Linked DNA regions of Caenorhabditis elegans. The protein of the gene in region 1 interacts with the protein of each later gene in a pairwise test. Each region holds a gene or a part of one and is shown on either strand. Other genes may lie near its edges.

Region 1 (17,952 bases):
GGCAAAGACGACATCTGGAGAAGGTTTTGGGATCATTGGGGTCACATCTTTGCGAACATCCACTGGGTCAACATGTGTGGGCTCTCTTGGAAGGACAGGCGGCAGTGGCGCGAGCTCCAATGGAGGAAGAACTTCCTTCTTTTTTGGGACAGCGTTCACTACAGCATCCTTGAGGTCACCGATCTGTTGTTTTGTCTTCCTGAAAAAGGATTATCGTTAAGACTGTCACTTTTTTAGTAAATAAAGCTTACTGCAAGCTAGATTCTCCCAAAACTGCGTCGAAAACTTGTTTCACTGGCGGAACAGTGGATTCGACTTTGTGACGGAACTCAGGGTCGACATACGCGTATCCGACAACACCACCAGCTCCAACAACGGTTGCTCCGACAAGAGCCAATCCTTTGCCACCTCCGGATTTTCTGAAATACGACGCGTTTTTATTATCGATTTTGGTGTATGTTTTACTTTGGTGGTTGAACTGGTGGCTTCGGTGGAGCAGCGGCTTGATTTGATTGTTGACGGGCTCTTTTCAACGTCTGGCTGACTGATCGCTTCTGAAATGAAAAAATTATACATTTAAACTAAAAATTGCATTTTTTTAATGAAAAAAAAACTCACCGATGCAATACGAAACATTTCCGCGACGAGCAGCGAATAATTTACCTAAAAAGTAATAAATTTTACAACGAAATTTTATATAAATCAAGAAAAAATCAAAATAATCAAGAGAGTGCAATCGAAAAAGAAATAAACATATTGTTTAGTGTTCGAAGATTAAGTTGCGCGTCATGCACGAGAAACGCGCCAGCAATCGATGTCTGTGTATCTTTTGTAAGTGCGTACGGGACGACGGGAAGAATGGCTGTGTGGGGAGGCATTGGAAGAGTGTGGCAGGGAAACAAAGGGAAATTGCCGATGCATTAAACGTTTGGGACATTTTGAACGCATAAACCCAAAATGAGCTCAAATAAACGAATTTTATAATGAAACTTCATTAAAAATTTTCAAAAAGTAGTTTTTGCCGGTTGAAAATTTCGAAAAAAAAACGTATTTCAAGTGAAATCTCCAATTTCGGCCATTTTTCCGTATCGCACACCTGGTCCATAAAAATTTTCCAACACTTTTAAAAGTGATTATTTAATCAAAACGCGGAATTTGGTTGTATTTTTAAGCTTAAAAAAACTTTAGTCCTAAGCCTAATATCGACAAAAAGGGTAACGTTAATTTTTCAGAATTGTAAACACTACAGAAGTACCGTAATTTTGTTAATTAAAATACATTTAAAACCGATAGGAAAAAATTATAGTATTAAAATAGCAGCTTTGGATTACTACGACTTGGAAAAGTGGCCAAATTTAAAGATATTTGAAGTGCCATAAACGTCCTAAAATTTTATGCAACATGAATTTTTACTGTTCTGTGTAACTTTTCAATTTAGAAATCAACATTTGTACGCAAAAAAGTGCAGCAAAAGTGCAGCATATAGTACCAGATATTTCCTTAAACTTCAGAAAAATGTTTGCTTTATTTGAAAACATCTTTAATATAATTCATAAAAATAAAAATAAAAAACTGCTTAGAAATTGTCTCTAATTTAATAAGAGCCGGAAAAATATCCCACAAATTATGGAAAATAATTTCCGGCAATTTTCAACTTGCATACTATTTTTGAGCATTTTTACAGTTGTTTCATATTAAATAAAACATTACTTTTAGATTAAAAAAAAAGTGTTTTTCTATATTTTATTTTTAACATTTAATAAAATATATCACTTTTTGCTCATTTTGGCTCATTTTGTAGATTTGCCGAAATTGCCGCGCACCCCTGATATGTACACTTTACCGGAAATTTTTAAAAATTGATAATGCACTAAAAAAATAGTAGAAACCATTAGAAACCAGTGTACAATTGATAAATGGTGTTTGTATCTGGGCATTTCATGTTGAAAAAAAATCGCCAAGGTCATTTGTTTGGTTAGGCCAGTGTACTTGAAATTGGTAGTGTTAGAACTTATATTTTATTTTTAAAATAATTGATTTTCAATTTCTTTTTTCATTTTTCTTCCAATTAACTCTTTCCATTCAAATAGAATTTTGAAATATACAAATTCTCAGTCACCATACACAACTTATTAAAGCGCAAGAATTTTAACATGCCCAGCAATGCTTAAGAGACGCAGAGTATATTCACCGTAGTTTGAAGCGAGGGTCTCGAAGCGATGTGGCAGTGAGAGTGGGGCTGCCTTTTCCTCGGGTTTGCACCCTCTCATCCGCCGCTATTGATTCTCTTTCTTTTCTCAATTTCCCTCGGGCTCGATGGGCTCGCTGCTTCTTTTCATTTTCGTGTTTTTTTTTCGTCAGCAGGCACATTGAATAAATATTCCGAGGCAGGGTCACAGAAAATTCTATGTCAACTTTTCTTTACTTTCTTATTTAACTCTTACTTTGTCCCATTTAGACGTTTCCAGAAAATGTTTTTCTCCAAGCTTGGATCATTATGCACTAGGATGGATTTTCGTGATGCCAATATTCCAGCCGCCTCTTTCCACACCGTTGCAGCTATTCTGGTAAGCTTTTGCACATGACTTCAATAATAGTATTCTCCAATATTTCAGGCAATTTTCGCAATGATGTCTACAGACTGGATTCTCATTGAAGATATGAGCACAAAAAACGGCACAACCGACATCGACGCTTTGCAGGTGGCTCAACTTTACATGAAGAACACAGAACCCTGTCATGCAATTGGTAAGTCTTGTTTAGCATTGCAAAAAAATAAATTGTGTAGAAGCTGAGAGCAGATGACTGTGCAAACTTTTCAAAAAACCATTTTCTTGTAATGACTTTTACATTAAAACTGAATCAAAAGCTGGTAATACAATATTGACAAAACGGAATGCGATGTTAAAATCAACACGATTAACAGTATCTTGAAAGTGAAATGATACTTCAAATTTAAACTTAATCAAAAACATTTGAAATTTTTTAAAGATGGGGTATCATAGTGAAAATGTTCTTTAGAAAAATCAAAATTGTATATGATTTTTTTTTGAAAATTGGAAAAATCTAAATTTTTGCCACTTTTTGGAAGTCGTCGATCAAAAAAAATTATTTATGGTCTATTTAAGTTTTAAATTTCAAAGGTGGAGTAGCACCAGTGTGGATTTTGTTTAAGTATACTTATGATGATTTAAAACGACCGATTAAATAATAAAACACTCCAAACAAAGTTAAGCACAGTGTTGGCAAATTGCTAAGCTTTTGGAAAAATATGAAATTTCAAAGAAATGCAGAGCAATGTCGCATGTTAGAATGTTTCAATAGATATAATTAATACAAAATAAAAGTGTGAAAGTCGTAGAAAATACATATTTTTGGTCAACTTCCAAAATTATGAGTGACGAAAATTTGTCAAAATTTTTTAAAAATCGTGTTACTTTTATTTGTGGACATTTTGACACCATACTGGCTCTACTCCACATTTAAATCAAAGATTGAATGAAACATTTGATTTGCAGGATGTCACAATTTTTGGGAAGCCGTCCGATTTGGAGGATATGTCGATGCTGCTGGAAACTCTCATGTGGCATTTCATACACCGACCCGAGTTCTCGTTGACTGCATAACACCATCAACAGCAAACTATTTCTACATTCTCATAGCTCTTTGTTTTGTAATTTCTGCAACATCATCTCTTTGTGCCACCATGAGCCTTCTCCCTCCACCAGCTCCATTTCTCGCGTGGCTCCGCAGTAATTCCATTTTGGAAATGTCCAATAGTATGGCGATGGGCTCTTTTCAAACAATTTCCATTAACTTTTTCAGTGATGCTTACTCTTTGCTGCTGCACAATTGCCATCATTGCGCAAACCGACATTTCCGACCAACGCGAAGACGACATCGTTGCCATTGGCGCTGGAGTTTTCCTCGTGTGCATTTCTGGTCTTTTGTCCTTTCTTGCAGCAATGGCTAGCATTCGTCACAGGTGAATTTTTGTATTCTTTTAAATTTTAAGTGTTTCATATTTTCAGCAATCGCAAAACTCGAATGCGCAGAATTGACAACCAGCGTCTTCTTTGTGCACGCTCACTACGCTCATGGAGGGATGCAGGGCGCCGTTCGGAGGACGTTTGTCCGATCGTTGATTTTGAGAGGTTTGTTATGTTTGAACAAATAACAAATTTCGAATTGGAAGTTGAAACAGTTGACACTTTGGTAGAGCCAAGCAGGTGTTTCTGATAACTGATAAACTTTTCAACAAGACTTTTGCAAGCTATTATTCTTAAAAATGAAGTAGCTCCAGTGAGGAAAGTGTTTACAACTACTCCAAAATGACGAAATATCTGTATGAAAATTGAAATTTTTTGTGACAGTTACCCACTCATTTTGCCACTCAATATTTTGGAAGTTGACCTAAAATATTTTTTTTCTACTATTTGTGTTGACACATTCTAGGGGTCGGAACAAGCAACATTGCTCTGGATTTCCTTAAAAGCTTATATTTTTCATAAGTTTAGCAATCTGCCAAAACTTTGAAAAATCGAAATTTTTTGGGCTCATTTTTGGTCGTTTAGAATAATTTTGAATGTATTCGACAAAATCCTCTCTGGCTCTACTTCACCTCAAAAAGCAGAACTTTTCAGCTCATTTTAGTTTTTGGGTACAATCAACCTCTTAATTTCGACATTTTTTGACAAACCATAAGCACGCGGCAATTATTGAAAAATTATTTAAATATTTCAATAAAATTTAATAAAAAAGTATAGGCCCATATTTGCTTTACCAGAATCACATTTAATATAAAACAACTGAAAAAGTGCTCAAAAATTGTCTGAAAGTTGAAAATTCCCGAAAAAAAATTTTTTTTTGATTTTTTTTTTTGATTTTGCGACCAAAAAATATATCAAAACTTCCCGATTGCTTGTTGAAAATTGTTTAAACAAATTATTCCAATATTCTTGTTTCCAGATATTTGGACGATTGCACCGAACTCGAGCAAACATCTTCCCAATCAACTTCACAGTCCAATCCAGCCGTTTGAACTAATTTTCTAAGGCTACACGCTAGCATTTTCATCAAGCACCGCACATGTATTTAAATCAAACATTCTTGTACCTTTCCCAGACATAGTCATTTTCTGCTTTGTATACTTTAAGCAATTGTGAATTCTAGTTGTGAATCTCTCCGGTTTTGAAACCACCTTTTCTTTCTCCCCCTTGCAAAATATAGTCCGGTTAATACTCAAGTAGTATTTCTCCTGTATTGTTTCTGTATCGTTTCCCACCATCGAAACCCATACCATGTTTCTGTGCAATTCCATTTTCAAACTCCATGATCTTTTTCCCTGATGCTTTTATTTTCCATTTCAATTCCAAAGACCTTGCTGCTTCTATAGGTGTCCTACAATTATGGCTTTAACTTTTTCAAAAAATTTTTTACATTATGGTAACTTTCAATATTGAACTTGTGGAATATTTTTAATTAATAAACAAGTATGTATTAAAAATTATTTTGTGGAAATTTGTTTATCAATTGGCAAACGATAGGAATAGTTTTTAAAGGTGGAGTACCGAAACTCGAGACTTTGCTTTTTAGACCCAAAATGACCCAAAACTACCAAATTTTGAATTGAGACGTTTTGAAAAATTCTCCAAAAAAGTTACGGCCTTTCAAAGTTTTGGAAAAAAACGATTTTTTTCATCATAGTTTTTCAACTTCTCGGTGTCGCAGCGTCTGAATTTTTTTCTATTAAAGGTGGTGTAGTGGAATATTTTATTTCTTTATTAGACTCAAAATTGTCTGAAAACATTGAATTTTATAATTAAACTTCTTGAAAACCTTTTAAACAAAAGTTATGACGGCTCAAAAAGTAGCCTAAAATTAGTTAAAATTTGAAATTTCACCTATTTGTCAATGTCGCAGCGGCTGGAAACAATTTATTTTTGAAATCAACGTCAAGTTATAACTATAGAATGTAATTCTCTCGCGTTTTCAACTTTATTTAGGTATTTTAAAGTCGATGACGGCGAGATTAAAAAAAAAAAAGTTTACCAAATCTTGCCGTCCATCGACTTTAAAATACCTAAATCAAGTTGAAAACGCAAGATAATTGACGTCTATACTCACAATTTGACGGTGATTTGAAAAAAATTCCAGTTGCTGCGACATTGACAAGTCGGTCAAATTTCAAATTTTAACTAATTTTAGGCCATTTTTTTGGCCATCATAACTTTTTTTAAAGACGTTTTCAAGAATTTTCATAACGAAATTCGGTATTTTCAGACAAATTTGAGTCTAATAAAGCAATAAAAAATTCGACTACACCACCTTTACACTATTACTATTTAATAAACTTTATGGTATTTTATTAAGCGTATATTTGTTGACTTAAGTACATTTATGGTCAGGGAGGCAAAAAATGTAACTTTCTTTGGAAAAATATGCATATCCTACAAAGTATAAACATGCCAAAATTCGCAATATTTCGTATACTTCCTAACTTACATACTTGCTCCATAACATATTCTTTGAGCCCAACTCTCTCAATGTTGTTCAATTTAATGTTTGATGGAAACATGTTCCATAATGCACTGATAAGACAACAACTACCGTGTTGTCAAAAACAAACTGTTTTAGGTTTAATCGGAAAACGATTGAGACCGTCGTCTTGATGGAATATTATGAAATCACTGTCAACAGAACAAGTGACCAAAAAATGTTGTAAAAAGCACAGATGGACATGAGAACGCACAGTTTTTATTCAGACACCGCCTTACAGATGCGAGAGCAACCAGAGCAGTTGATGGGCACACAGGCACGACGATTAGTGGGCAGCCGCCCGTACTCTCTGTCTTTTGACTGCATCTGGGCAGTTGTCTAGATATCGATACAATTTTGACCCAACAACACAGTAAAATTTTGGTCAATATTTGCTTTTTATCATAACTTCCCTCCTGTCATTTTTGATTGTTTTGTGAGTGAGAGTATGCAAATGGTGAGATGCAACTTTTGCCAATGGACTAGTCACAAGACTAAATAAAATAGAAAACTAGTCGCAATAAATTATTAGAGTGAGAAATAAGTTTTGTGGTATGTTTTTTTTGTGTCTCAAATAATATAAATTTTTCAAACGTTTGTACCTAACTTTTTTAAAATTCAATTTTCAATATAAATTGAATATGTTTGAATTCAAAAATATATAAGTCCTTGATTTATTCTGGTAAAGTTTACTAGATTCACTCCGTGCATTTTTATTCTTCAAATATTTGATTAGGCTGGATCAAGGATTTTGATTGTCAAACACTGAACCAGCTTTTGGATACAATTTTGCAGTATTGATCAATATTATCATTTCTCTTATGAAATATTTGTTTTCCAGCATACGAAAATGTGTGATATTTTTATTAGTCATGGTATATATTCATGTGACTGCAGTTAAAATGATACAAATGTTCTAAAAGCCGGAAATATTCTGTACTTTTGATAGCTCGTAAATCTCGTTTCAACGCTCATTTGTGAAAAATGCGACCTACAGTACTTTTGGTAGCGGCGTGTAAACTTAATAAATTTTAACATTCACGATTGTGCACTCTCTCAACTCTCATAGAAGTAATTGGAGATTCTGATTTTTTTTCCAAAGTGCAACGTACCACAGTTCTTCTCCAAAACTTTTCCTATTTCTCAACTTGTATATTTTTTCGCAATCGAACTTACTCACAGATTTTCAATACTTCATCTACAATATTTTTGTTAATAAATTCTGAAAATCGGAACATACTGCATTGCTCTGGATTTCCTTTAAAGCTCACGGTTTGAAAATTTTGGAATTCGCCAAACGTTTGACTCAAACTTTCCAAAATTGTTTGGAGTGTTTTATTTGGTCATTTTATTATTATTATTGGTGTATTTAAACAAAATTCCTACATGCAAATTTCGAAAAAATATTTTTGTTAGTTTCAATTATAAATGTTGTATATTTATCATAATTAGGAGACAAGAGCAAGATCACTTTCCAAGTGATAAAATTTTTTTTTTGAATTTTCAAGAAAATTTTCATCAACTATGTTTTCGAATTTGTTTTAATGGAGAATGTCATCTTTTTAAATAGTTAATAATTTTTTTCACAAAACAAATCCGCGTGTTTTTGGAAACTTGAGCAGAAACTTTTTCTATTTGTGCTTCAATGGTTATTTGTCTTCACTTTTAATAAACTATCAATTGCCATGTTTTCATATTTTTAATTTTCCACCTCATAACTCACCTCCCTCGCAACTCAGAAAATTAACATTGGCTTCCAAAGTTCACCACCTTTTTTTCTCTAACCACACCATACAAATAGAACTGTTATCAATCTGAAATTATTTAAAAAGACGTCGCTGAGATAAGAGCGTCAGTCCTTTACACGCGGCACGCAATGAGAGGAGCACTGCAGTTACTACTTTTTGTTGGTACAGTCACTCTGGTGAGACCTATTGTACACTTTGAAAATATTCTAGTTAAATTTTTATTCAGGTGGCCAGCAAGCTACATGAGTCCCCTTACGTTACCGAATGCTTTGATGTATGTTTAAATTGTTTTTTTGTAAGTTCTCAATTTGTTTTAGGGGCACTACAACTTCAGAGGCGTCTGCTTCCAATGCACTCCATGTGGTGACTTCATGTACGAGCTGTAAGTAATTTTTTGTTGATATTTTTTATGCCAAATTCATTCAAAAATTACGGGACACTGTCTCATCGTGGAATCTGTAATAAAAAGTCTGTAAACTGCCAGATTTAGCGGTTAGATCTTTAGATACTTGAAAAACCAATTCCTTATGAAATTGTAAAACATAAAACAATCTGACAGCCCGTGTATTCAAACGGTCTTGTCATTTAGCATTGATGTCAGAATACTGATAACTGTGAAGAGCATGTCATGCACACCTCGGTGTCATATGGTGTCGTGAAAACTTAGTGCTATTGAGTAACAAGGTGATTGATAAGAATAAACAGTACTTCAGTTTGAAAACAGAAATTTGATAGCAATCAATTTTCCGGGCATTTGTTTATTCAAACTTGTGACTAGCAAAACATTGAACATAGTGAGTTCAACTCACCATGGGTTTTCAAATTAACTCGGCATTTGGAGCATGGGTGTGCGGCAAATATGCCAAATTTGCCCAGCACAGCAAAACTCGAAAATGCAGATTTGCCGAATTTGCCGAGATTGGCAAATTTTGAAATTTACACATCAGTAGGAATGTTTTTCAGAAAATGGGTTTTTAAAAAATTTATTTAGGTACCTTAACTTCAAAATACCCGTTTATAAGGTTCAATTAATTTTCTAATATGAAAGTTTATGAGTTTCAAAATCTGCATGCAACCGTTGTAGAACATTATCATGCAAAAATTTAGTCAGGGGTCAAGCTTGATAAACAATATTTATTTTCAGTTTCTTATGACGTCATATATATATATATTAAACATATTTTATTATCTCGTACGGAAAACTCGCATTTCGTCGAAAATTTCCCTTTTGTGAAAAACTATTAAAGTTTTTAGAGCAAAATGCACGGATACTTCAAACACAGTTTGTGGATGGTGTGGAAACAAACCAAACTTGGACAAAATTTCTGATGAGTATGTCATAAAATGAGGCTGATTCTATTACAAAGTTAGCCCATGTTTCAGAGTGCTTGTCTCTTACCAAACCAAGTGTCTTATGTCTAGCCTAGATTTCATCGGGATGACCAAACTGAAAGACGAGCTTGTCAATGTTTTTGATGATGAAAAGGATAGTGAGGAGGTAGAAGAGTTACCAATTAAAGATAATTTCATCAAAGGTGAAAATCTTGAGATGATTGATTCAAATGAGATCAACTACGATATGGCGAGAAACAGTTTAGAAGATGTGTACGATAGTCAAGAGCACCAGCTACCAGACCCGACTTATGAAGAAGGAGATGATTCAAGTTCTTCGGAAGAAATTGGCGAAGAGGAGAAGACTGATGAAAATGAGATTGGAAGCGAAATTGTTTCGGAAAAAGTCAAAGCTTACATGATTGAAAAAAGTGAAAAAGTTCCGTCTTCTGTTAAAATTGCGAAAGGAAAAACTACAATTGTTTCTCATGAGGTAGGTGGAAAACAACAAAACAATAAAGTTAGCATATTTAAATTGTGCTATGCACTGCGGATCTGGAAGTCAGGAACACTGCCTGGTAGTGCTCTCACTGGGATATAAGGGTGAGGCCGGACTTGAACTCGTGGCCTCCAGATTGCTAGCGACCACCACTACCAACTGAGCTATCCCGCTTCTGAAATATGTCGGAGCAAATCATTGAAATAAGAAATTGAAAAGTTTTGTATACTCAAAAAAATTTTGAAGACTTTTTGACGACCCAATTTTCTTGAACTAACTTTTTTCTTTTTGTTTTTGTTGATTTTCTAAGTGTTTAATTTAAGCAAAATTCGCACACAATTGAGAAGATGCCAGAAAAAGTGGCTCCGAGTTAAAACCGTTGGGGTGGTTAAACATTTTTGAAACTGCCGTCATAAATTCCCTCACTTTTAGTATCATCTATAATCTACAAAAAAATTATTGTGTGAAGCTAACTTTTTGATGTAAACTTGGGATATCTCGCTCTTATGTTTTGAAATTGACCATGAAAATTGAGTGCCCAATTTTTAAATTTTCAGAACTAAATTCATCATTTTAATTTCAGGAAGCCGAGGCCACATTCCGAGAGATTGAAGCCCTACCAAACCCTGTGCGCAAAATCAACCAAGACGATTATGACTCCTCTGAAGAGTCAAACGAGCGTGAAATCAAGTGGGACAATTGGGTTGATGATCAAGTGAAACCAATCAGAACGGTATGTCTGCAAATCTACCCGGATTTCTGAAATTTTTTTGAAATACAGAACGTCGAAGTTGTCGAAGCCGAGGAGATTGAGGAATTTGACCAGCTCATCGCGTAAGTCAATGTTTCAATGATTTTTATTTGAGAAATTTCCATTTTTCAGAAAGTCGCTCAAAAATAGAAGAAAGATCTTGAATGATGAGACAGAAAGCTCACCACTATTCATTAAAAACTTGGGTTCAGTCTTTGTCATCTGTATGGGAATGATCATTGTTGTGTAAGTAAGCTAGATCACGTGGATTCAGAATGTCATATTTCGATTTGATCTTCAAAAAATGCGGGAGTTGAGACGCAGACATCTCATCTGATTTCGCATGGTGCTAACGTCTCAATTTTTCTGGAAAAAAACTTCCCGCCTTTTTTTGTAGATCAAACTATAAATCAACACGTCTCAGATTCTAACTTTTGAACTGTAAAATCTATGGTTTGTTTTTCCAGCACTATTCTCTCTATCACATATGCTTTGATGCGTGCGGAAAGAAAGGAATTCTTGGGCGTCCCCACCGACTCGCAGGACTATCATAGTAGGGATTTCAAAAGAGTTACAAAAAAATCTAATGTACAAAGTTTATTCCAGTGATCATTGATTCCAGCAATTATATCGAGAAGCTTGAAAGCAAGGAAAAACAGGCCAGCCGTCACGTTCATGTCAACCCAGTTTTCGATGTTTGATTAATTTTATCTTCTCCGTGAGAATTATGAGAATTATCTGTTTGTATATTTAATCTTCTTTATTTTTTTATTTTTGTATTTTTTAAATGTGCATCCGCATTTTCCATTTCATTTCTTTTTACGTTCTGAAATAGTAAATTTAAAATTTATGGGAAGAATGTATCTTTGATAAAACCTTTATTCCATTTCAAAAAAAAATGTCGGGGTAAAACACCAAAAAGGGAAATGGGTGATAACACCGCCTGAGGCCACGAAATTTAAGTGGAGGGAAATGAGAGGTGATAGAGATAGCATATAATACCCGAAGTTGCATGAATGGCTGACAATGCTCGAAGAAAAAATCAAACAAGGGATGGTTCTAGAAGGGAAAGTGAAAAATGAAAAAGAAAGAAAAAACGCAGAAAGGTACATTTGTAATTAAAATTTCAAATATGGCCATTAAAACTTTTTCAATACGGTTTTTAAAAAACAGGTAACACGGAGGATAGTGGATGTACACATAGATTAGCTAGACGACAGACTGAACAGAAGCAGTGCCCCTATGCGGTCTACTATTAACAGAGCTGATTGATACGGTACTTGATGGCTGTGCTGCGAAGCCTCTTTTGAGTTCGAGCTCTGCATAGTTCACACCCTCGTGGAATGCAGCGACCGTTGTCCGTTTCTTCTGAAGTGATGATGAGAAAAAAAACAAAGAAATGAATGAAAGAAGTGAACCCAGTTAAAAAGCTTTAAGCAGAGAGGAGGCTGTGAATTGAAAGCTTGGATTGGTTGAGAGCATGCACACCAGCGTTAGAGCCTTGAGAGAGAGGGAAGTAAATAAGGAAAGCAGTAACACAGTTTAATAAGAGACACGCACACACATAAACGGCCATTTTAGTGTGTTAGACGATAGACATGCGTAATTGAGCATCTTTGACAGCCTGGTCGTACGCGTTTACCTAAAATCGTTTGATATTAAGTGGGTTTTAACATTTTAACACGTGAGATATGAGTGGGATGTGAAATGGTGGATAATATGAGCTTAGAAGCGAAGCGTTGGGGAGAGGGTAAGTTATCACAAAAAGAAGGAGAAAACCGAATACCTAAAACATTTTTTTTGATTACTATGACAATGTGTGAGAATGGAATGAGATTGATTAGGAAGTCGGGGGATTGGGATCGGGGGTCGGAAGATACAACCTTCAAACTCAGACGACAGCTTCACGACTCAAATAGACGCCGTACGCCGTATCGCATACCTCGGGTGGGTGTTGTGCGAACAATCGTGGAGCATTTGGTGGTGGCTCGAAATAATCATTTTCTTGGTGAATGTTCAAGCTGAAAATAGGATTTATTACAGCGCTATTCTATGTACTATGATCTTACTTACTTTGCTTTTGTTTTCGGCTCATTGTAGTCTGGGTGATCTTTCACGCCTGAAATTTTATTGATGATTAAACGTGTTCATAATATGTATTCTGCTAAATTATTTGAAAAATTATAACGGAACTCTGCCACTTGGGAGTTCGTTTCCTTAAATTGTAGTACCCAGCCACATTAGGAAAAAAAAATGTTTTAAGCCAAAAAATCTAAAACATGAGAATTTGTTTTTCTAATTTTCATATAGCTTCTACTTATCTTTTTCGATTTTTTTTTCGATCTTCAGGGTGATACATCATCACCGTACGTTATTAATTAAAATTTCAACTGTCGAACTTACAGGAGGGCTAACGGTTCTAGGTTTCCTAATTATATATAAACGAATTTCGTGATGAAACTTCTCAAACTTTCTCAATTTTAGAAAATATACTTATGGCGGTTCAAAATTTTAAACAATAATTGCTTTACCTTGGCTAAAATCTCAAATTTTGGTCGATGTTTTGTGTCGCAGAACTCCGAAATTGGCTTTTTTTAAATTTCCATTCTTTATTGCATATTTTGGTATTTTATCTTACATTATTGATTAAGCTACATTACCTTAATTAATAAAAAACGACCAAAATATGCTATAAATGATGATAAACCAGTTTTTAAATGAGAGATTTTAGATATAATTTAGCCTTTTTTTTGGAAATTTAGAACCCCCATAAAAATATTCAAGAAAATATTTGAAAATATTTGAAAAGTCTTATTAAGGGATTCGATTATTTGGACTCGTGTTGAGTTTTTTTGGGCCTATCCCCAGTAGCCTTTTCTAGCTTTTCGGGCAATTTCACTTGTACTTTTTGAAATTTTTTATCTTTTCCTCTGGTAACATTGCTACTACAATTTGTGACAACAATCCCACAAGTGGCTTGAAACCCTAAAGTTCACCATGAAACTGTATTACTGTACAAAAATTTTTTCCACTGTGAAGTAAATCTCGCATTTTCAAACTCACGTCTTCTAACACAAACTGCAATAATACAGATGACAAACAGCAAAGCAGCGACGCCAATCAAAATGTACATCCAGAAAGTTGGCATGCGACCCACCATCGCACTATCCCCACCAAGTAACGCATCCATGGAGACTGGGATTCTGCAAAGCAACAAAATTGAAACCAGTTTGTCATTCACACGCCTACTGTCCGTCACTATTCAACCATCTTCCCATAAAACACTTCCACAAGTGACACAAATACTTGACGTCTTCACAGCCATAACGTCCTTTTTCTACGACTTATTGTCTCTATTTGCATATCTTATTCGCTCTCACAAAAAGAAAGCCCAAATGAGGAGAGGTTGACCTCACATGGGATTTGACCCCTTCTACTCTTTCTCCTTTTCTCTCGCATTTGTACACAATATGCGCGCTCACTTGAATAGGTAAATAGGAATGTGCATTTGGCGTATAGCAAAGACATTGGAACATCTTATTTGAATAGTAAGGGTCCCCCCCCCCCCCGCGTTTGCTCATTAATCTACTGCTCAACTCACTGTTTCGATCCGAATTGGTTCTGGAGTTTGAGAGCAATCCGACGATATTGATCTTCTTCACGAACTGGGGAAATTGAGAGCCGAGCAATGTAACAGTTGGGAACTGTGTTGTTGGTGACAGCTGAATCAAAACGGAAGTTTTCCCATGATTGGCCGACCTGAAGAGAGCACATTATGTTAATTTGTAATGAAGCATCCCAAAAATTGTTCAAAAATTCCAATTTTGGTCACGTTATTTCATTGGTTAGGGTGCATTTAAAGCCCGAAGGTGATCACAGTTTTTGAAATTTTTAGTCACCTATCGGCTTTAAATAAACCTTAATCAATGAGATAGGGTGAGGTAAACTTCCTAAATTTGTAATTAATTGATAATTAAAAAATAGATAAAAGTTGGGATTGCTACGACACGGGAAAGTGACCAAAATTAAAAATTTTACCTAAAACTAGACTATTTTTTAACGAAATTTTGAACCACCAAAAAAAATGTTTGAGTATGATTTGAGAAGTTTTATTACAAAATTCGTTCATTCCCAAACTGTTGGTCCTTCTTCAAACAAACGTTATTCTTTAAAAACTTAGGGATTTGTCTAACCCTGGCATTAATTGTTACTCGTTTTATTACTAGTTTCGGGTTAAGTTCCCCCTCAGAATTAGGTGTGTTTATTCATATGCCTATTTACATCAAATTTAGGCCGAAGTCATTAATCCAAGATGCATGCGCGAGTTATTAGAAAGTGCACTGCCTTTTCTAAGCCTTTCCTAATTATAAGATCCCCACCTGAAGGTCATTTTGATCGATGCTGAATACAATTTCTCGTGGTGGACGTGGCATTGGTTCGGCACAGTAGTGAACTAGTACTGTTGCGTCGTTTCCGCGTTGCTCAATGCTTGGTGGAGCATCTGAATTGCTTGGTGCTCCGATGACTTGAACGTTGAGACTGGAAGTTCCTGGAGTTTCAAGACTTGGCGAGCATTCTGGCTCTCCTTGGCTGACTTGAGAGCAAGCTGCACACCAGTATTGTCCGGAATAGGAATAGTTGGAAATTCGAAGTGAGCAGAGTGCTGTGAGGCGAACAATGTTAGCGGATCTTCCTCCCTCGGGTGGCAACTCCTGATACTGTCCCTCCAATCCTTGCGGGCAAGCGGCATCAACAACATCCCCATTTGGTTTTCTCATTCTCCAGTAGACAATCGGCCGCGGATTTCCCTCAACCTCGCATCCCATGTTCACTTGTTGATTCATTTCAATTCTGTTGCTTGCAAGGAAAGGAGATGTGGATTGCAATTTTTGGAAGTTGTCCTTCAAAAGTTTTGCCGATGCTGGAATAGTAATGTAATTAGAGAAACAAATAAAAAAACGAAAATCAATTCTTACAATATGGATCAATTTGAACTGCTTGCGACAGTGGCATGTTCGACTCGTCATGCAGACCGTTATTGGCTTGACATTGAATTGATTGCCCAATCATTTCTGTTCCAATCGTGATTTCGGCACCAGTTCCGCTGTAAATTGATGGGTTACGGAAGTTGCAAATACACAATTTACCTTGGACTTCCATTTTTCAACCATCGGTACTGAGTTGCTGGTGGGTTCGATTGAACGTCGCACTTCAAGGTCTTTCTTCTGCCACTTTGTTGGCACAATCCATCAGCGCCGCGGACACATTCCACAAAGAATCTGGAAGCTTCAACCATTGCATGACCCTCTAATTAGTTCTTTATTCCTGTTTAGAATGTGGGTAGAATGAACATTATTTCCCTTTTTTTTGTAACACGCCGAAGCAAATTGCACTAATTATTTTACAACATGACCCCCCCCCCCCCCCCAAGACAGTCTGCATACTGTGTACAGTTCTTTTTTAATAACCACCTAACCACCCTTCGGCAACATCAAAACGTGTTCGTATTCGCTTTTTTAATGGTCTCAATTCTACTTACCTGTATCCTTGGTTTCCAATTAACACGGGCGATTGTCCGTTCGAATCGACAACATGCGGCTGACGAAGATATCTTACATCGACAGTTGCGGGGGACGAATCGACGGTACCTAAAAATTTGAAAGAATTGCGCGTGTTACGCAATATGGTCCAGGTGCTTCTTGAGAGCACTCCTATTCATTCTCATTTCCCTCCACCTACCTCCGTTAAGAGCCGCTTGGCACATGATGGTTGCACCGGTCCAATTAGTGTTCACAGCAATATCCTTGAGTGTGACAGCCTGACAACAAAAGAATGAAAATTATGAATCAGCTCATGCCCCCCCCCCTCTCTCTTTTTTTCTTAATTTGAATAAAAAAACTCATTGTAAGAAATGAGTGACATTGAAATGAGATCAATGTGTATGTGGTTACACCGTCCGAAATTAGTGCAAAAAAATGGCGGGGTGGGCGCCACAAAGAAATGGCGCGTTAAGTGACACAGGATGCGTCGGAGTGTGGAAGTGAATAGAACACTGATCAGAACACATCCGTTATGGTCTTTACGCAATGGGATGGAACAGTTTATTTTAAACATTTTGGGTGAGTTAGGGTTGACTGACGGCTTGGAAAATTTTCAACGTATAGAGCCTCAAATGTGCTAAAACAAACAAATTTTGTTATGCACTTTTTATAGCAGTTCAACATTTTTAAAATGTGATCTACTTTTGGCAAAAATCATCAATTTGATCACTTTTTCGTGTCACAGTGGTCATCATTTATTGCATATTTGAGTTCACTTAAAGCCTATAAGTGGTCAATTTTTAGTCAGGTTTAGAAACCTATCGGCATTAAATTTACCTTCATCAACGAAGTAACCCGAGATAAACAACCAAAATATGCTATACAAGATGAAAAATAACAAATTCACTTCGGACCACTGTGACACAAAAAAGGTCAAAATGGAAAATACTAAACTTTAGACCTTCTTTAAATCAATTTCATGTCTCAATTAACACCATGCACTTATTTCTGTGAGAATGATTGAGTGTCCTATTGACCAATAGACGACAGTAAAGCATGGGAAATCTACTCTTATCAGTAAGTTTTCGCTCTCAAACCCTTAGCGTGTTGCGTAATATTCTATGTGACCCTTCTACAGATTGTCGTGTTTGATTGCGGTCTATGGAGGAAGATGCACCATCTTGATAAGTGGGAACGATAAAAGTATTAGCAAATGACCTTTCTCTTAACCTTCTCTATGTCTCTTCTGATTCTTTTGTTGCATAAATGGAACTTGTCAAAAAAAAATTCGGCAACTTCAAATATCCTCGTGCTTTGTAGAAAACGTTTATGAAATATTTGTTGTCCGTGTTATTAGAATCGTATATTTCGGGGCTTTCGTTTCAATTAATCACTATAATCAAATCAACGAAAGTCAATCCAATGATCCGTGAAAACTTAACACATGATTTGTAGATTTATAGATTACATAATTATAATTTATATAAAGTTCCTCCTCGTTCTCTTTGCAACACACCTTTTAATGTTTGAGAACTCTGAGAAAGA
Region 2 (16,308 bases), 8.4 Mb from region 1:
AAGTAATTGCAAACTGATGCGGGAATGTTTGGCGAAAAAATAGGCAATAAAAGTGAGAAGGAGAAAGAGGTCATTTAAGAGATTTTTCAGTAAAAATTAATTTGGTGGGTGCGACTGAGGGCCCAATGTACTCGTTGACTGTGGTTGGATTTACTTTCCGAAAACTTCAAAAGTCGAGTCTGCGTATTGACAGGTTGAGTATCCAGCTGGTTGGAGAAGGTTGAATGCTCTGATAAATCCGTTGATGAATCCTTGGTCTTCAAGCCAACGGAGAACCTGAAAGTTATATTTATCATTTATAAGTGTCATGTATTTTCTGACTTGCCTCTTTCTGGTATTTGGTCTTGAAAGTATCAGGGTCGCGAACCAAAACAGTAACTGGATATTTGACCCAATTGGAGATGATAGCGTACTCGTATTGGGAGTCTCCGAATGAGTTCTTTCCCTCTGGTCCAAGTTTGTAAATCCAGACTAAAAATGATGGATTAGGTGCCTATTGAAAATGAGGAAGAAATAAACATACATGGTTGAGCGTCACTTGTTTCAGAAGAGTGAAGTTGGAGCATGGCATCTTTGTTTCCTCCACGGAAAGCATACCCAAGAGAATACTTGACTGGTCCAAACTCAGATCCTTCTCTGTAAACCTTGAGAGCGGTGAAAGTGGCGGTTTTGTCATTGCGGGTAAGTCCTCCGTCTGAAATTTTTGATTTAAACAAATATTCCTTTTTTACAAACAACTGTACTCACAATGATGAACAACGCATCTTTGTTCGGTGGCTCTTGGAGAGTTAATTCCCTCAAACCATCTTCCCATGAATTTGGAAAGATCGACAGTTGGTGTTTCTGGGAGAAGAGCATCAGTGACATTGTCAGCGAGAGTTTGGAGTCTCTCTGGTGGGAGAAGCTCAGAAAGGGTGGTTCCGTTAGATACACGCTTGGTAACTGATCCGATCAGACTAACGATGTCAATTTGTCCTTGAGAGTTTCTTGGGATACCTCCTGGAAGAAGTGGGATTCCTGGAATTCTTGGGAGTCCTGCATGAGTTGGAGAGTTGTTGCCTCCTCCTCCGAGAGCGGCCGCAAAACCAGAAAGGGCTCTTTGAGCAGCAGATGGTTGTCTGCGAATGTTAGAAGATGATGCAGCAGATGCAGAAACAGTAGCAACAGCGTCATCGAATGAAGCTGCGGCTTGTGGGGCACGACGAATGTTGGATGATGCAGCTGGGGCAGATGATGAATCAGCTCCTGATCCAGATCCAAGAAGGTTTGGAAGAGAGTTGGAGAGGGCATCGCTCACTCCGGCTGAAACAAAACGTATGACGTGTCGATAGAATACCTATAAATTTCCACTCACTCTCCTTGATGACCTTTCTGATAGAGTTAGATAGAAGTCCGATAAGACCATTCTCTCCTGGTTGCTCAGCTGGAAGTGGAACATTTGCTCCTCCCTTGTATGGTCCTGGATTGTTTACAGCGTTTTGAATTTGGGAAAGTTGGTCTTGGAAATTTGGATTGGCTTGTGCAAGAACATCTGAAAAAAAATTAGAATTTTAGAATTGTTTTTGTTAAATTTAACATTTTAGAACATAAAAACTAACCATCGGTAACGGTCTTGACTCCGGCAGCTTCTGGGTTAACCTGTTCGGCTGGAATTCCTGGAACTGGAATTCCGGCAGCTCTCATCTCTTGTACGGCTCCAGCGAATCCTTCTGGATGGTTGCCAGTAAGTCCTGGAATTCCAAACGAGTCAAGTCCAAAGAATTTGATAAGCTGGTTTTGAACATCAGTTGGAATATTGACTGGTGGAGGTGGTGGAATGGCGGCTCCAACTCTTGGAGCAAATGATTGATCTCCATTGGTCACTGGCAACACTGGTTGTTGCGCTGCTGGTGGTGCTGGTGGGAGGGCAATTGGTTGTTGTGGTTGTGGAACGGCGATAGCCTTTTCTTGGGCAATAGTTGGGGCTGGGGCGCGTGGGGCCGCATTAACAGCACGTGGTGGGACAACCTAAACGATATTTAATTGACAAATGGGCTAAAAAAATATGAAAAAAAAAGTTACCTGTCCTAAAAATCTTGGACGGTGGTGTTGTGCTGGGAGATGAATTACTACAGGTACGTCTGCTTCGCTAATAGCGCCTAGTGCCACAGCTAACGTCGTAGCCAAAATCCAAATAAGCGAACGCATCACTGGTGTGCAGAAGCCAATGAGTGTGGATGGATGCAAATCGACTAACGACAATGTGGGAGGGTTCCCGATATACACCTCTCTCCGACCTAGTTGAATCAAGACAAGAAGTACCCCCTCCGATATTGTCCTTTCACTACTCTCAATTTCTCTGCGCTCTCTCTTCCCACCTTTCCCGTCGATTGCTATTCGCCTTCATCCCGGTTGTCCAATCGAAATTGGGCCAGGTCAACGCGTCGTCCAGAAGGTTTTGCGTTTACGCGATGCTGATAAGAAGCTATTGTGCGTCCATGACGATGACACAGCGCGCGGAATTGATCCGCTCGTCACACGGTTGTGGCTAGAGAATGAGAAATTCCGTGCCAGTTGGAACACGATCAGATAACAGAAAAACTAGCGTTTTCTATAGGGCCATCATGATTGACGTGACACATTTAAACAATTACCTACCACAAGAGTACAATGATGTTATATACTATTATTTTTAATTCAAACTGGAGTTCTAATTATTTTGAATGCTATAACAGATACAGACAAAATGCTTTATTATATGAAAATGAAATTGGAAATGCATGAGAGAATTCATAATTTGATGTAAAAATTGACTAGTGTAACTAAAACCCGCTACTTTATGGTACACAATAAAATTCTTGAGAAATCGGAAATACAAATTCGCATTGATTCATAAATTTTGTTGATTGCATCAATTCACACTTCCATTCGGTCAGGTTGTTTGCTGGGTACTGGCGCAACGAGATTGTCTTTCTTCGAAGCATTATGCGAACAGACAGATTTACCGCGAACCGTAACCTTCAAAACGAATGATAATTATGTAAACTACTGAATAGGAACGGAAGTACTTACCTCTAGAAATGCGACTAATTCGACACAACAGTACATAATCAGGGTGGGCCAGGTCATCAGCCAGTGGAAAATGTTGCGGATGATTCCCGTTTTGTCCTTAGTTTGTCTGGGGAACACCTAAACAAAGTAATTATTTTTGAGAGAGGTCATTATGAAGTATGAGGATATTACCGGTTGGCAAAGGTAGTTAACCAGGAAAACCGTAAAGAACCAGATGTACTGGAGACCCAGGAAGCCGAACATGATGATCATGAAACATTTGTTGTTTGGAATGACAAGCCCGTTAACGCCATGGTCGACTGCATTTAGCATAGCAGGGGTCTGAATTTTATATCTTCCATTAAGATATGTTGGAAAATAAGATGATGTCTTACCACAATAGGCGCGATTAAAGTGTAAATTGAAGCAATACAAAGAAGAAACCCATAGTAAAACACAAATTTTGCGGCGAATGAAATAGAAACTGTAACCGGAAGACGGAAAAATTTGATGGCAAAATAATGGAAGACTTCAGCAGCTCCAATGGTCCAGCGTCTGATCTGTCGTGCCCACTCGTACCATTCGTCGATATAGTTCTTTCCTAAAAAAAAAGGATATAAATTTAAAATTAAAATTTGGGAAGCAAACTAAATATATAAATACAAATCATATTTTTTCCAGAATACTCACCGCTGGTGGGTCCAGACAAGGTGGCAACAGGGATCGCTCTGATCACACATTTTCTTCTCACAGCCAATGACCATCTAATGAGAGCAATGATATCGTCCATTTGATATCCTGGGTGAGTGTATTCTCCCTCCTCGAAAAGCTTCAATGTGAGTGAGAAAATGCTCATGGTGTTGATATTCCATGGAATAAGGTATCCCATCATGAAAAATGCTCGCAGAAGACCAGTTATTCTGACGAAAAATGGCGATTGGTCTAAGTTGATGCAATAAAACAATGGAGATTGCCAGACAGTATAGGATCTTTGCTTTGCAGAAATTTTCCAATAGTCTTCTTCTAAAGCATCAAAGTATCTATCTCCGAAAACACTGTCACAGTCTCCAGTGGTAACAATCAGTTCGACATTGTTATCATACTCTTCTAATGGATAGTTTTTGTCGGCTCTCAACATTTTGACCGCTGTCCTAGCCGCGTAGTTGAAATTCGAACATTTGCCTGGAAAATCAAACAAACGTTGGCATTTTTCTCTGATTCGGTTTTATTTACCTGGAATGTCTCCCGGCAGTCCACGTGGGTGGAATGTGACAATGAACCGCTCGAACTTTGGCCCATATTTGTTGTCCAGAATGCGCTTTTTCTAAATAAAAGAGCACCGTTTGAAAAGTGATTCATTGGAAAAAACACCCACCTCTTCTTTGTCCGGAGTTCCTCCTTCCATTCCAACAAGACAAGTGATCTTTTCCTTCGCATTTGGTTGAGAAGCTATACTCTCGATTGTATCCATAAGCAAATCTAATGGTTCTTTATAGACACAAAGCCCAACTAAATGCTTCATTTTTAGACCTGCTTCATTCTTGACCTAAAATGTATTCAATGGAATTCAAATTGCCTATCCAGATTGGCTCACCAGGTCGAGTCTAATTTCATGAGATGCAAATCTTCTCAATCGCCATGTGTACCTTAGTGCATTGATAATTGCAATAATCCAAAGGCAGTGGAGAATTATTGAGATGATCGTCACAATTTCAAGGGCAAAATCCTAAACATTGAACGGTTTAAACACGACTAGAAAATCAAAACTTCCAATTGAGACACATGAGATTTGAAAGCATATGTTGGACTAGGCCACCATAACAATTTTTGAGTTGAAACTAAATTTAAAACTCTTGAAATCGTGGTCTAGAACGATATCAATACATTTATTACCACATTGATTCAAAATTAATAATGTCCATTTTCGAAGAATTGTTATTACTTTAATGCCATACGCCTGATTTTGAAGTCTACGACTACTTTGAATTACTTTCCTTGTTCGATTATCTACTTGAATATTTTTTCAACTTACGTTAACGGCAGGGATACAAGGGATCCAAATGGCAGATGTGATGAATAAGAAAATCAAGAAAGTGAATAGTAAATTCCATCGAATATAAGCATTTGCAGGTTTGGCCAATCTGCCCGCGTATGCTCCAATGCTAAAATTAAGAATATTAATTGGACTGCTTATAAACATACATGTTTTCAAATTTCTTTAAATTTAATGAATTTCAGAAGTCCAACAATTAACAAAAAGTTGTTTTCACACTTACGAAAGTTTTAAAATTTTATTAGAATCTATTTATTAGATCATCAAACTTTCACAGTTTTTGCAAGATATTAATTTTCTAAAGTTAGCCGTACCTCCTAATACTTCCTGATATTTGACGTTTGACAGATTTCTTGAAAGTGCCAAAGCGGGATTGTCTCTTACTGCCTTGTTGGTAAGCTGTTCGTCGCTCGGGCAACGAAGAAGCTTTTTGTCTTATTTCATATTTCTTTTCCTAAAATTTGATGTACTTTTATTTAGATGTGATGAATAGAAACAATGCCATTTTTTAAAACTGATTATTAAAAAAATTCTCAAAAACTCACAATATTATTAAGATCAGAAATATGAATGTCGGAAAGTTCTTCAATTGTTGGTATTTCATCGTCGATACGATTTGTCGTTGTCATTGTAGGTTAGGTACCCACAAGAACTGAAAAGTACCTGATTGCGCTTTGTGCTCCACAAACTTTTATACGAAGGAGTTGCCCAAGAGGCGGTGCTTTTTTCGTTTTACCTACGTCTCCCCCGCAAAAATTTCGGTTTATTATGTTTAGCTCACAGTGCAGTACACAAACATAACTGTCCCGCCCCTCATTCTAAGTTTTGATGATGATGTCAGAAAAATATGAAAAATGATGATACTGGACACCCATGCAATTTTGTATCTATCCCTTTCATTGAGTCATCATTGCCCTCAAAATCGTGGGAAACCCTCCACTTTAACTGTGTTGCTTAAAAAAACCATTGATCACTTCCATTTCAACGTTCGCAGCCAGTCTATGTTTTCAGATAAGTTTATGTATGTACCCGTGTTTTCATGATTTCCGACCATTCACAAATTCCTATTGGCATAATATGAGAGTAAGATTACAAATAATACTTAGGTCAACTTGCGCCAAAAAAGAAATTAAAAAATATAATATATTTTTCGTTGTAATAAAACTTATGTATTTTAAATTAGGAGGGATTAGGACACAGACATTGTTAATTGGCAAATTTAATTTCATTCGTGAATTTGCATAATAAATTTTTATAAAAAGCGTTATTTTATTTTTTATTAATTTTATAAAGTCTATCATCGCTCCGATTCAAATCATACTAGATTTCATTTTCATCCTAGACACGTTCTCAGTGAAATATGTGTATTATGTACATATACTTTTTGAAACTCATTCAAACGAATTTTCATCATTTTCAATCATTGTGGGTCATTTTTTTAATTTTTGATTAATTGATTCATTTAATCTTCTAAGACAATGTACACAAGTGCACTCGTTTTACAACTTCCACGGTAAATGTGTTTAACAAAAAAGTTCAATAAACTGGGAGCGATGGAATTGAACTATTGAATTTTCAAACAAATAATTCAAATTTAGCTGTTTGAAAAATCTCGAAAAAAACAACTTCTAAAGGTCATACTTTTTTCCAAGTTATCAGCAAAACAAATATTGAAATTATGGCAGACATTCCGGTGGGAATCGTTTTGCAGTTTATTACATTTTGACCATTCTTTGGGTGGAGCTTTTAAAATTTGATGTAGATCTTTTGGTTCATTTACTGATGCATTTATAAATGTTGGTGACGTGAGGTGAATGCTTTACAGTTCAAAAAATTATGTTATGAACACACTCGATTTAATCACAATGGTATTCTGAAAACAACACAGGGTCTACGGAATTAAGAAAATGTATTGTTTCAAACAACATATTTTGAGTTGCATACTTTTTCAAGAACTCCTGCAATATTTGCATTTGAATCTCAGACATTCTTTTCCAAACAACTACAAAAGACAAAACTTAAAATTTATGAAACGTATATTTCGAAGCTAAATGAGTTTTTCCATGACAATATCAATAAGCACCCAATGGTACACTAATCACTTCCGTTTTTCACACAGGGCATTTTGGGAAGTTCCTCTTTGTCATCGCAAATAAAAGTAACCAGTTGAGAACTGGTCATTTCGGTTCTCTTTGAAAAACAAACAAACAACACTGTTCCGTTTACTGCGTTTTGCTGGACCTGTTGCTGCTTTTCAAAAATGTTTTGTGATTGCCTTAGATAACTTCATTGACTCTGATCGTCAAAGAAAAAACGAAATTGTCTATTTGAACAAATGATCATGTTTTGCCGCGGAGCAAAGGTTAAGTAAGTGTCACCCAGCACTACAAGGGTGACTAATTCCCAAAATACATCAAAAAAGTAGCTGGGAAGTAATTTTGAGTACGGGAAAGCATATTCAGCTCGTGGAAATTGAATAGTTTTTGTTCATGAAAAGAAAACACAATTTAAGGTCAAAGTTAATTAAAATATAATAAATATTTAGGAGAGTCACTTTAAACAATATTTGAAGATGATTTAACACGTATGTATAATGTCTTTCGTCCAAAATAATTAACAAAAATTTTAGCGCAGGTATTTATTAAACCATACTAAATTGAATTTCTAACAACATTCTGTCATAATAAAAGTGTGCAGGCTTCAAAAATGATCACCATAATAATTAATCAGTATAAACAGAAAAAACAACTGGCGGAGGCTTATTATCCATGCTGATGTGTTTTTGTACTCACTATTAGTTATTAAATTAATATGAAAAGTGTTTGAACCCCCCGCCCTCATTTAATTCAAACTGATCAGACACATTAAACCCCTTTAAATATGATTTCTGAAGAATGCATTAGCGATGCAACTTTAAGTACAAAGAGTCTTATACCTGTCACAGCGCTTTATCGTTCACATATGCCTAGGCACGCTCGCTAATCCGTTATCTACAGTTAATTCTTTTCCTACAATTTAATGCCCAACTGTTGATTATATCCAACTTTGTAGAGGGAAGTAACCATTTTCCTTACATTTTAAAAGTAACTCGGCATTGGCTCTAGCTTCTTGCCCAAGTTTAGCCCAAAAAATATTAACTTGGATCAGAAGCTGTCTAAACTTGGGCAAAAGTTAAGCAAAACTTTGGCAAAATTTGGATTCAAGCTTTACCAAAGTCTAACCTAAGTTTCACCCAACTCTTGCCAATTTTTGGCCCAAGTTTGAAACGAAATAAGAAACGTTTGGGCCAAAGTTTGGCAAGAGTTGGGTGAAACTTGGGTCAGACTTTGGTAATGCTTGAATCCAAGTTTTGCCAAAGTTTTGCCTAACTTTTGGCCAAGTTTAGACAGCTTCTGATCCAAGTTAATATTTTTTGGGCTAAACTTGGGCAAGAAGCTAGAGCCAAATGCCGAGAAGTTTTAAAAACATTTTTTTATGGAAAACGCCAGTGTGAATAATATTTCGAATAACTCATTGAAAATAAGGAAATTTATTGAAAAAAGTTTTCAAAAAATGTAGCTCTAGTCATTGTGATATTTATGCAGATTAATCCTAATTATATCCTAATTTAAGTAGTCGACCAAACAAAACATTTCTGCGAGATTCATATTTTAATCATGTTTTTATGATTTATAAATAAACGAATGAAACGTTTCTCCGAATGCTTTATGTGGAATTGTTGGAGATTTTTTGCTGTTCTGTATTTAAATACAAAAATTTATTAGGTTCCCGAAGTATTGAGTTTAATTAGAAAATCTGAATTTTAAGACATATGTGTGACAGCACTTTTTTAGATGTAATATAACCTATTATCAATTGTCATATTTACTTATTTTTCATAAATTTAATAATTGATATCTGACTTTAAATGATTTTTTTTTCAGAATGATTCTCCGGGGAATTGCCCTCTCCCTGAGAAGCCCTTATCCCCGAGGGTCCCCATCCCCGAGGGACCCCCATTCCCTAGGGGCCCGCATCCCCAAAAGGCCCGCATCCCAGACTGGTCTTCATCCCCGAGAGGTCCTTATCCGAGAGGAGCCGATCCCCGAGGGGCCCCCAACCCCGAGGAACCCCATCCCTGAGAGGCTGCCGTCGCTGATGAGCCTCTCATCCGTGGGACACCCATCCCCGAGGGGCCCTCATCCTCGAGGGGCCATCATCTCCGAAGGAGATTTTAAAAAAGATACTTCCGATCTTTGAAACGTTTTCTAACAAAATCCAAACTGGCGCTTGTTCATCTTTAACCCATCCGCCTTCAAATTCATATCTAGATCGCAATAACCTATAATATACAGTACTGGCCAATATTCTATTCACTTTTGATTTTCCAGTTTTTTTAACTTTCCAATGTATATAACTCAAAAACTTAGGATTTCTCCAGGAGAAATACCTATGTATGTCTAGATTATTTGTAGCAATTTCTCTACAAAAAAATCTGGGTGCCAGTCATCTTGCAGGTCCACTTCAGTAAATTTTTCTTAGAACCGCAACCACTCAAAAATCGGTTTTTAAAAATTTAGTAAATTATTATCTGAATTTAATTATATATATTTTTGCAGAAGCTGTTTCATGTTTTCATAATTATTTTTCGTTGAACTCTTAATGTATCAATTAAAGTCTTGTTCATGAAAAAGTGAATTCAGTGATTGTAATAAAAACTATTAATTTGACACAAATTTTTAAATATGTTTATTTTAAAAAAATAGTGCAAAATAAAATAAAAACACATTTTTAATAAGCGGAATATGTATATTGTATATAGTCATATATTGAATTGTCAGTCAGTTGCTTTCACAGAAAAAACAACTTTTTAGAATTCATGTCACTATCTAAAGATTTTCACCAATCTTTACTTCTATCAAAATGTTTACAATGACTCACTTTTTCAACCTTTGTTGCACAATACATCTTTCAATTTTTGCTCAAACACTTGGCATTGTTACATTTCATCTAACATATTATGTTCCGAGTTCAACTAATGATCTTTCTCGCTGCGCGCGTTTTTCAAATTCTTAAGAAACTGTGAAATAATTGACTATGTTCTTTGACCGAGCCTCAGTAGTGATGCCTCCCACGCCGCAAACTTGGGAGCAACAAGTCGAAAAAAATCGACAAAAATTGCTCCTGATCTTCGTGACACGTCAGTGTGTCACTAAGAACAGACATATTCACATGTCTTACCACAGTTCAAAAGACCTTTTACAAACACAAAACCGTTACATTTTTTGCCGTCCCCATCTTGCCAGTCTTGTTTGCACTTTTTCAGTGTAGTTCGGCGTTAAATGCGAAAAACCAAGTTCAAAATCTTACAAAGCTTTAACAAATAGATTGGTGCCGACGTCTGGGCTGAGCAGTTTATATCACAGAAAATGCAGGGAAATAATAAATATAATCAAGTTTAATTAACAGCAGTGTTCCCCAAGACACACTGTTAGTGCTCCCAAAATGACATCCGCCGCAGATAAGATGAGGGCTCCAACTGCAAGCCAAAACGAGTATCCAAGCTGAAAAATTAAGTTGTGAGTTTGTACAAACAAAGGTTTATGAGCAGCTTTTGCGCCTTAGGGTATGTGCAGATTGGCCAAAAAGTTGTTCAATGTGAGATAGGGAGGGTTTCTCAAAGCTTTATAATCGGGTTTTAAAGGGTTAGAACATGTGTAAAAAAAGAGTTTTAGTGAAGTTTAATAGTTTCAATCAAATAATTTTACACTTTTTCCCACATTAAGAATAGCATTCTCACCTGCGAGTTTGTATTAATTCCATTTGTAAATTGATTCCATTCAGCTGCATAAACAATAACAGCGATGAGCAGAAGAATAGTAGAGATGACTGCAAAGAGGGTGAGTGGATGGATGATATATTTCTTGCAGCAGCAGGCAAGGCTGAAAGTTGTTTGAATTATATTAATGTCGGCTTTCGCTAATCTAACCATGTCAAAAAGTTGTAGACAACTGCAAAAATTTGGACAATCAAAGAGAGGATCATGCAGACGACGACACATTTCATCCATCCTGGAAGATTCTGAAAACAGTATTTTTGAGCATATAAATAATTTCATCAACATACCGCCCACCAATCCTGACACTGGGTTCCCTGAGAGTGACCAATACATGACCAAGGCATCAAGCCATTCCATTCAGATGTGTTGATATGAGTTATATCTTTCACATTATTTTCAACAGTATTCCAACCTGAGAGTTTGAAAATTCACTTTTTCTAACATCTCCAAAGATGAAACATACTTGGCGTAAACAAAGCAACTGCTGTTAAAATAGCACTACCAGCCATAATAAGTCCATAGAGAATTTGGGTGAGTCCGGAAAGACACATTGTGAACCTGAAACATATGGTTTTAATTTTAATATTTTTTTCAGAAGATTGACGGACAAAAAGTATTAAAAAAGTATGAAAACAATTTCTCCTAAATATGGAAATTTCTATTGACGACAGACAAACACATGGTGGCATCTATGCAACCACCTAGTTACGGAATGAGAATGCACTTCAATGTAAGAATGACGACAGCACAAAATACTAAAATAGCCTGCACATTTGACAACTATACATCTTAACCAAAATATGAAAATGATGAAATAAATGCTCAAAGTGGGCAGAAACAGTGTTTTTCTTATCGCCATTGCCAACTGGGCTGTAAAAGTTTGGGAGGGACACAGGAAGAAGTGATAAAACTAGATGCAAAAAGTCAAAACGGATTTTTTTAATTTTTGAATAGATTTTAGATACTCGGAGAGTGAAAAATAAAACAACAAACGTCGTTTGAAGCATTCAAAATATTTTCACAAAACCTGATGTATCAAGTTACATTACTAAAGGACCAATTTTGGAAGAAAATTTCACAACCCGAACTAGTTTTCAAGAAATAAGGAATGGCAACGTGCTATGTCACACAAACTGGAATGAAAAAAATGCTTCATAGATAAGATTGAACACTCAAATATTTACCTTAAATGTCGATGGGACGGCGTGAACTTGATAGAAAATATGAAAAATGTGTGTTATATACAAGAGTTAGGCTAGTTTTAAAGTAAAGAGGTGGAGAGAAATAAAGCGTTTGCTTGCTCGTATCAGTAGAACTCCTCGACACGTCATGTAACCGTTTTCGGTATGATTCAGTCAAGAGATAGACCAAAAAATAAAGTGTTGATAAGAAACTCAAGTTGGGCGTTGTAGAATTTTGAAAGTTGACATAGAGCCATTTCTTAATTTCTGTTAAAATTCTTTGTGAGTCAGCGAGTTTTGAGCAGATGGAAACGGTGATTAGTTCGTATAATCGTTATCAACTTACAGTCAGATGCTCAAATATTTCGACGAATTTTCCTATCATTTCAGCCAGTATCTTTCGTAGTTTTACAAAAGTGGAGTTTACGGTGAATCACGTATATGCGAACACAAAAGTGACGTGTTTTCATTTTTCAAAAACTTTTGTTTAGTAAGCTTCACTCAAAATGTTTTGAAACAAGCTTCAAACTTTCAAATGATTTTTTTGTGAATATTTAAAAAAAAAACTGATTTATTGGCAAGAAACAGGTGGTTTCAGCTAACTTTCTTTTTACGTCTGGAAATATAAAAAATTCGAAAACATTTTTATTTCGTGGAAATAATAATAACTTTAAATTGTTGGTTTTTTTTTGGTAAAGATTGGAAAATCAAAGCTAATTAATTTTCCAATCAGATCGTTAGCAAATTGTTCAAGATTTTTATCATACATGCCTGAACAATAATATTTACTAGAAGGTTATTTGATGTTTTAAATAACCAAAACAATAATGATAAACGGAATTTATGACTTGACATTTTTCAAAGTGTATCAGGTATGTGAAATAACCGAACCTTTAAAGGTGGAGTAGCACCAGTGGGGATTTCGTCTAAATGCACTTATAATGATCTAAAACAACCGAATATCATAAGAAAAAACTCCAACAAATTTTAGATGTTTTCTAGTTTCCGGTCAAAGTTTTGGCAAGTTGTCAAAATTTTGAAAAAAATGTGAGTTTTGAGGAAATCCATAACTATGTCGAATGTTCCGACTACTACAATATTCTATTACAAATAGTTAAAACAAAGTTACAGTATGATAAAAAATGTAGGAACAAACTTTTTTTGGTCGACTTCCGAAATTAGTTGCAAAAACTGAGTAATTTTCACATTTTGACAGTAAACAAAAAAAAAGTTTTCAAAAAAATTTTGAAACATTTTATTATGCTATTCGGTCATTTTGGAACCATAGGAATAGTTTTTCACTCTTTCCCTACTAGCGCTACTCCACCTTTAGGTTTTTTTGAGTTTGAAGACTACCAATGTCAATCTATAATACAAAAGAAGAATGTTGTCTATTTCAGCATGTTGCAAAAAACGTATGAAACTTGGAACATCGAGAATGCTCACGACACGGGTTCACGACGGGTTCACGACACTAATTGTGGATTTGTTTGTTTTGATGGACTTGAAATAAAACCAAAAAATTGAATTTCACAGTGAAAATTTCTGTAGTTATCAAAAAAACGCTGAAAACTGGACCAAATTATTTTAAAAAATTATAAAAATAAGCAATAGAAGCAACTTGGCAAAAATTAAAGGTTTAGCATAGCTTGGTTTCTCTCGAACGTTCCAATTTCCATAAATCCCTACTGAAAGAGTTTTGCTAATTCAAATTACGAAAATATCATATGTAGTAGATCTGTTCGATTTGGGTTTCCATTAATACAAAGTTCTCAAATTGCTAACTAAAAATGAGTAGGAATGAAAGTAAACAGAGAAACAGTTTCTTGGAACATATCCTCAAAAAACTTAATTTGAACAATTGAAGTAGTATTGCAAATATTTTATAAGATCTGAAAGTTTACAAACAACAGTTGATTGAAAAAAACAAGTGATTAGTACTTTTCAAAAAACATCTGACTCATTCTAGCATCAAATCAATGCAGAGCGTTTGTTTATTTAAGATACTATTTACATTCTCATCATTTTTATTTCTTGCTTTTGTTGAAACATCCTGTTTAATTTAGTAGAGGTTTCTACTTTCTCTGGTATTTTTAAACTTGGATATGATGTGTTATTATCCAAATGTTCTTCGAAACGTGTGAAAATGTTAAAAATACATACTGAAAATGTAATCAACGGAACTACTTGCTCGAACGGCATCCGATTGAAATCTGCGGCCGTTGGGAAAATGAAAAATAAATGCTGGAAAAGAAAAGAAGATATGAAGAAACAGCGTGAAGGAGTGTATTTGACATATGCAAATACGTAACGGCAATGAACTTTAGCCGTGTAGCGCTGACAGTATTAACTCTTCTTCTTGTCACCTTTCAATCAAAGTTTATATATTTTCTTTTCAGAAAAGTTGTTTGATAATATGTTGTCTTTTGTGTTTCATTTTCTATGTGAGAACGCATCTTTTTGTTATGCTATGACGTAGAATCATACTTGAATAACTGACAAAGAAGCTATGAAAAGGTGTTCGTATATACAAAAGGATTTTCAACTTGAGATCTGAAAAGTAAAGTGTTTTTTTTTAACTCGATGAATTCAAAAGATACTGTATATACATAGAACAACCAATGAAACAGCTTATGAGTTAGTAGACAATAAACGTTTTCAGTTTCTCTGAACTTTCCAAAAAAAATTTCCGGAATTTTTTACAAGAAATAAGCGTGTCAAACCTACTGAATACCATCCTGGGAAATACATCATAAAAATTGATGAGATTGTTTGCAAGCAAAACTAAATTCTGTAATTCTACAGAAAATGCACTTGAAAAAAACTAGGATGCCCATTTTTTCAGTGCATATTTGAATAATTTTTCACAAGTTAACAACAAAAATATGTATATTAAATGCAAATTTATCGTAAAAAACTGATCAAAATCATCTGCGTCAATGCTGAAAAAACCGAGAAATTTTAAGATACAATTGGAAATTGATATTCTGAAAAATAATCAAATGCATAATAAGGTAGAACTATTCAAACTCTACAAGTGAAATATAACAATTTATTAAATGGAGAAATTCTTAGGAATTGTCTTTTCCAAATAAATTAGGGGGTTTCATACAACCTTTTTGATACAGTTCAGTTGTTACAAAACATTCTAGTTGTTTTTCTGGCATATGTATGTCTCATGCACAGTATTTCGGCGAACTCAAACTTGGATTTTTTTCGTATTTCAAACAAATTTTTAAAGATTTTTGAATACTTCTCAATACCTTAGTGTAATTGTTTTGGAGTTTCAGAAAGGTGCACCTATCTTCTTGTTGCAATGGTTTAAAAAGTTGCTTCAAAAAAAAAAAAAAGTGCAACTGCGTGCCCTCATAATTGTGTTTGCGAATCAGTGCGCAAAAATCTATCAGAGCCATGTGACCGACTTCTTTTAAGTTCAGTTCATTTTGTTTTGAACATCATGTTGGAATGACTTTCTGCTCTAGAAATATCATTTTCATTCCTTCACCAGGGCTCTCCGATTTCTCATCCATTTTTTGAAATTTGAAGCGAAGATTTTGAACCGCCTCCGTCATTTTCAACGCCTTCGTCTTCCGCTTGTTTCTCATTTCCTTTCTCAGACGGAGTTCGTAAATAATTTAAACATTTCTCAGGTTTTTTTTTCAGTTAACTCATTGTTAAACTATTCGGCTTTAAACTTTTGAACTTATTACGCACACAGAACGTGAAATGAGAGTTCAGAAATAAATCCATTTCATTTCGTAGTGTAGATTATATGTGTATTAGAATTCTTTAAAACCGTCTTCTAATATAATGTGAAGTAAGTGATAAATACAATTTTACAAGTATGGATTGTTCAAAAATCATTCCATTATGTGCTCCTTATGTATGCTCCATGATTCAGCCTCTTTTTCGCATGCAGCTTAAGAAAAGTCTGACTTGGGCAAACAAACTATGATTTTCTAGAGATTTTCCAATAGATACATTTTAAATGTGTATTGATGGAGATGATGACGATGGAAAGTTTCGAAAAAACCGTTCGTCACCCCCAAACACACGTCTAAATAAGCTGGTCTCATTTTTCCTAAATACATCCTTGTAAAACAAACATGACACAGATATGGAATAGGCACAGCGCATCCAAACAGTGTGCTGCTTGTCGGGATGAAGTTTGAAATGTGGAGAAGCATTTCATGTGAATTCATCCGTTTTTTTTTAACTTTGAACCT

What was found.
Region 2: the proteins of T02C5.1 (region 1) and clc-1 interact in a two-hybrid assay, tested with the Caenorhabditis elegans proteins (one large-scale study listed by BioGRID).

What each region holds. Positions count from the first base shown.
Region 1 is NC_003284.9:2,686,522-2,704,473, forward strand, and holds T02C5.1 (TNFR-Cys domain-containing protein), read left to right. Parts: upstream 1-8,401; 5' UTR 8,402-8,413; coding exon 8,414-8,461; intron 8,462-8,511; coding exon 8,512-8,559; intron 8,560-8,602; coding exon 8,603-8,667; intron 8,668-9,539; coding exon 9,540-9,617; intron 9,618-9,668; coding exon 9,669-10,110; intron 10,111-10,699; coding exon 10,700-10,849; intron 10,850-10,897; coding exon 10,898-10,950; intron 10,951-10,999; coding exon 11,000-11,113; intron 11,114-11,334; coding exon 11,335-11,420; intron 11,421-11,473; coding exon 11,474-11,568; 3' UTR 11,569-11,752; downstream 11,753-17,952. Other genes in the region: immt-1 (MICOS complex subunit MIC60-1), read right to left, coding at 1-199, 252-419, 466-554, 619-636; T14G11.1 (Membrane-associated protein), read left to right, coding at 2,472-2,567, 2,616-2,748, 3,519-3,779, 3,826-3,985, 4,032-4,154, 4,969-5,041; igcm-3 (Ig-like domain-containing protein), read right to left, coding at 12,077-12,235, 12,810-12,888, 12,941-12,986, 13,931-14,070, 14,469-14,626, 15,247-15,788, 15,844-15,971, 16,015-16,146 and 2 more.
Region 2 is NC_003284.9:11,043,387-11,059,694, reverse strand, and holds clc-1 (Claudin), read right to left. Parts: upstream 12,250-16,308; 5' UTR 12,086-12,249; intron 11,460-12,085; 5' UTR 11,453-11,459; coding exon 11,365-11,452; intron 11,314-11,364; coding exon 11,189-11,313; intron 11,144-11,188; coding exon 11,052-11,143; intron 11,005-11,051; coding exon 10,863-11,004; intron 10,627-10,862; coding exon 10,525-10,626; 3' UTR 10,420-10,524; downstream 1-10,419. Other genes in the region: lpr-3 (Lipocalin domain-containing protein), read right to left, coding at 151-276, 326-471, 524-694, 748-1,302, 1,355-1,531, 1,599-2,007, 2,062-2,187; C09F12.2 (Glycosyltransferase 2-like domain-containing protein), read right to left, coding at 2,896-2,997, 3,052-3,168, 3,223-3,372, 3,426-3,631, 3,721-4,212, 4,264-4,354, 4,406-4,576, 4,625-4,756 and 3 more.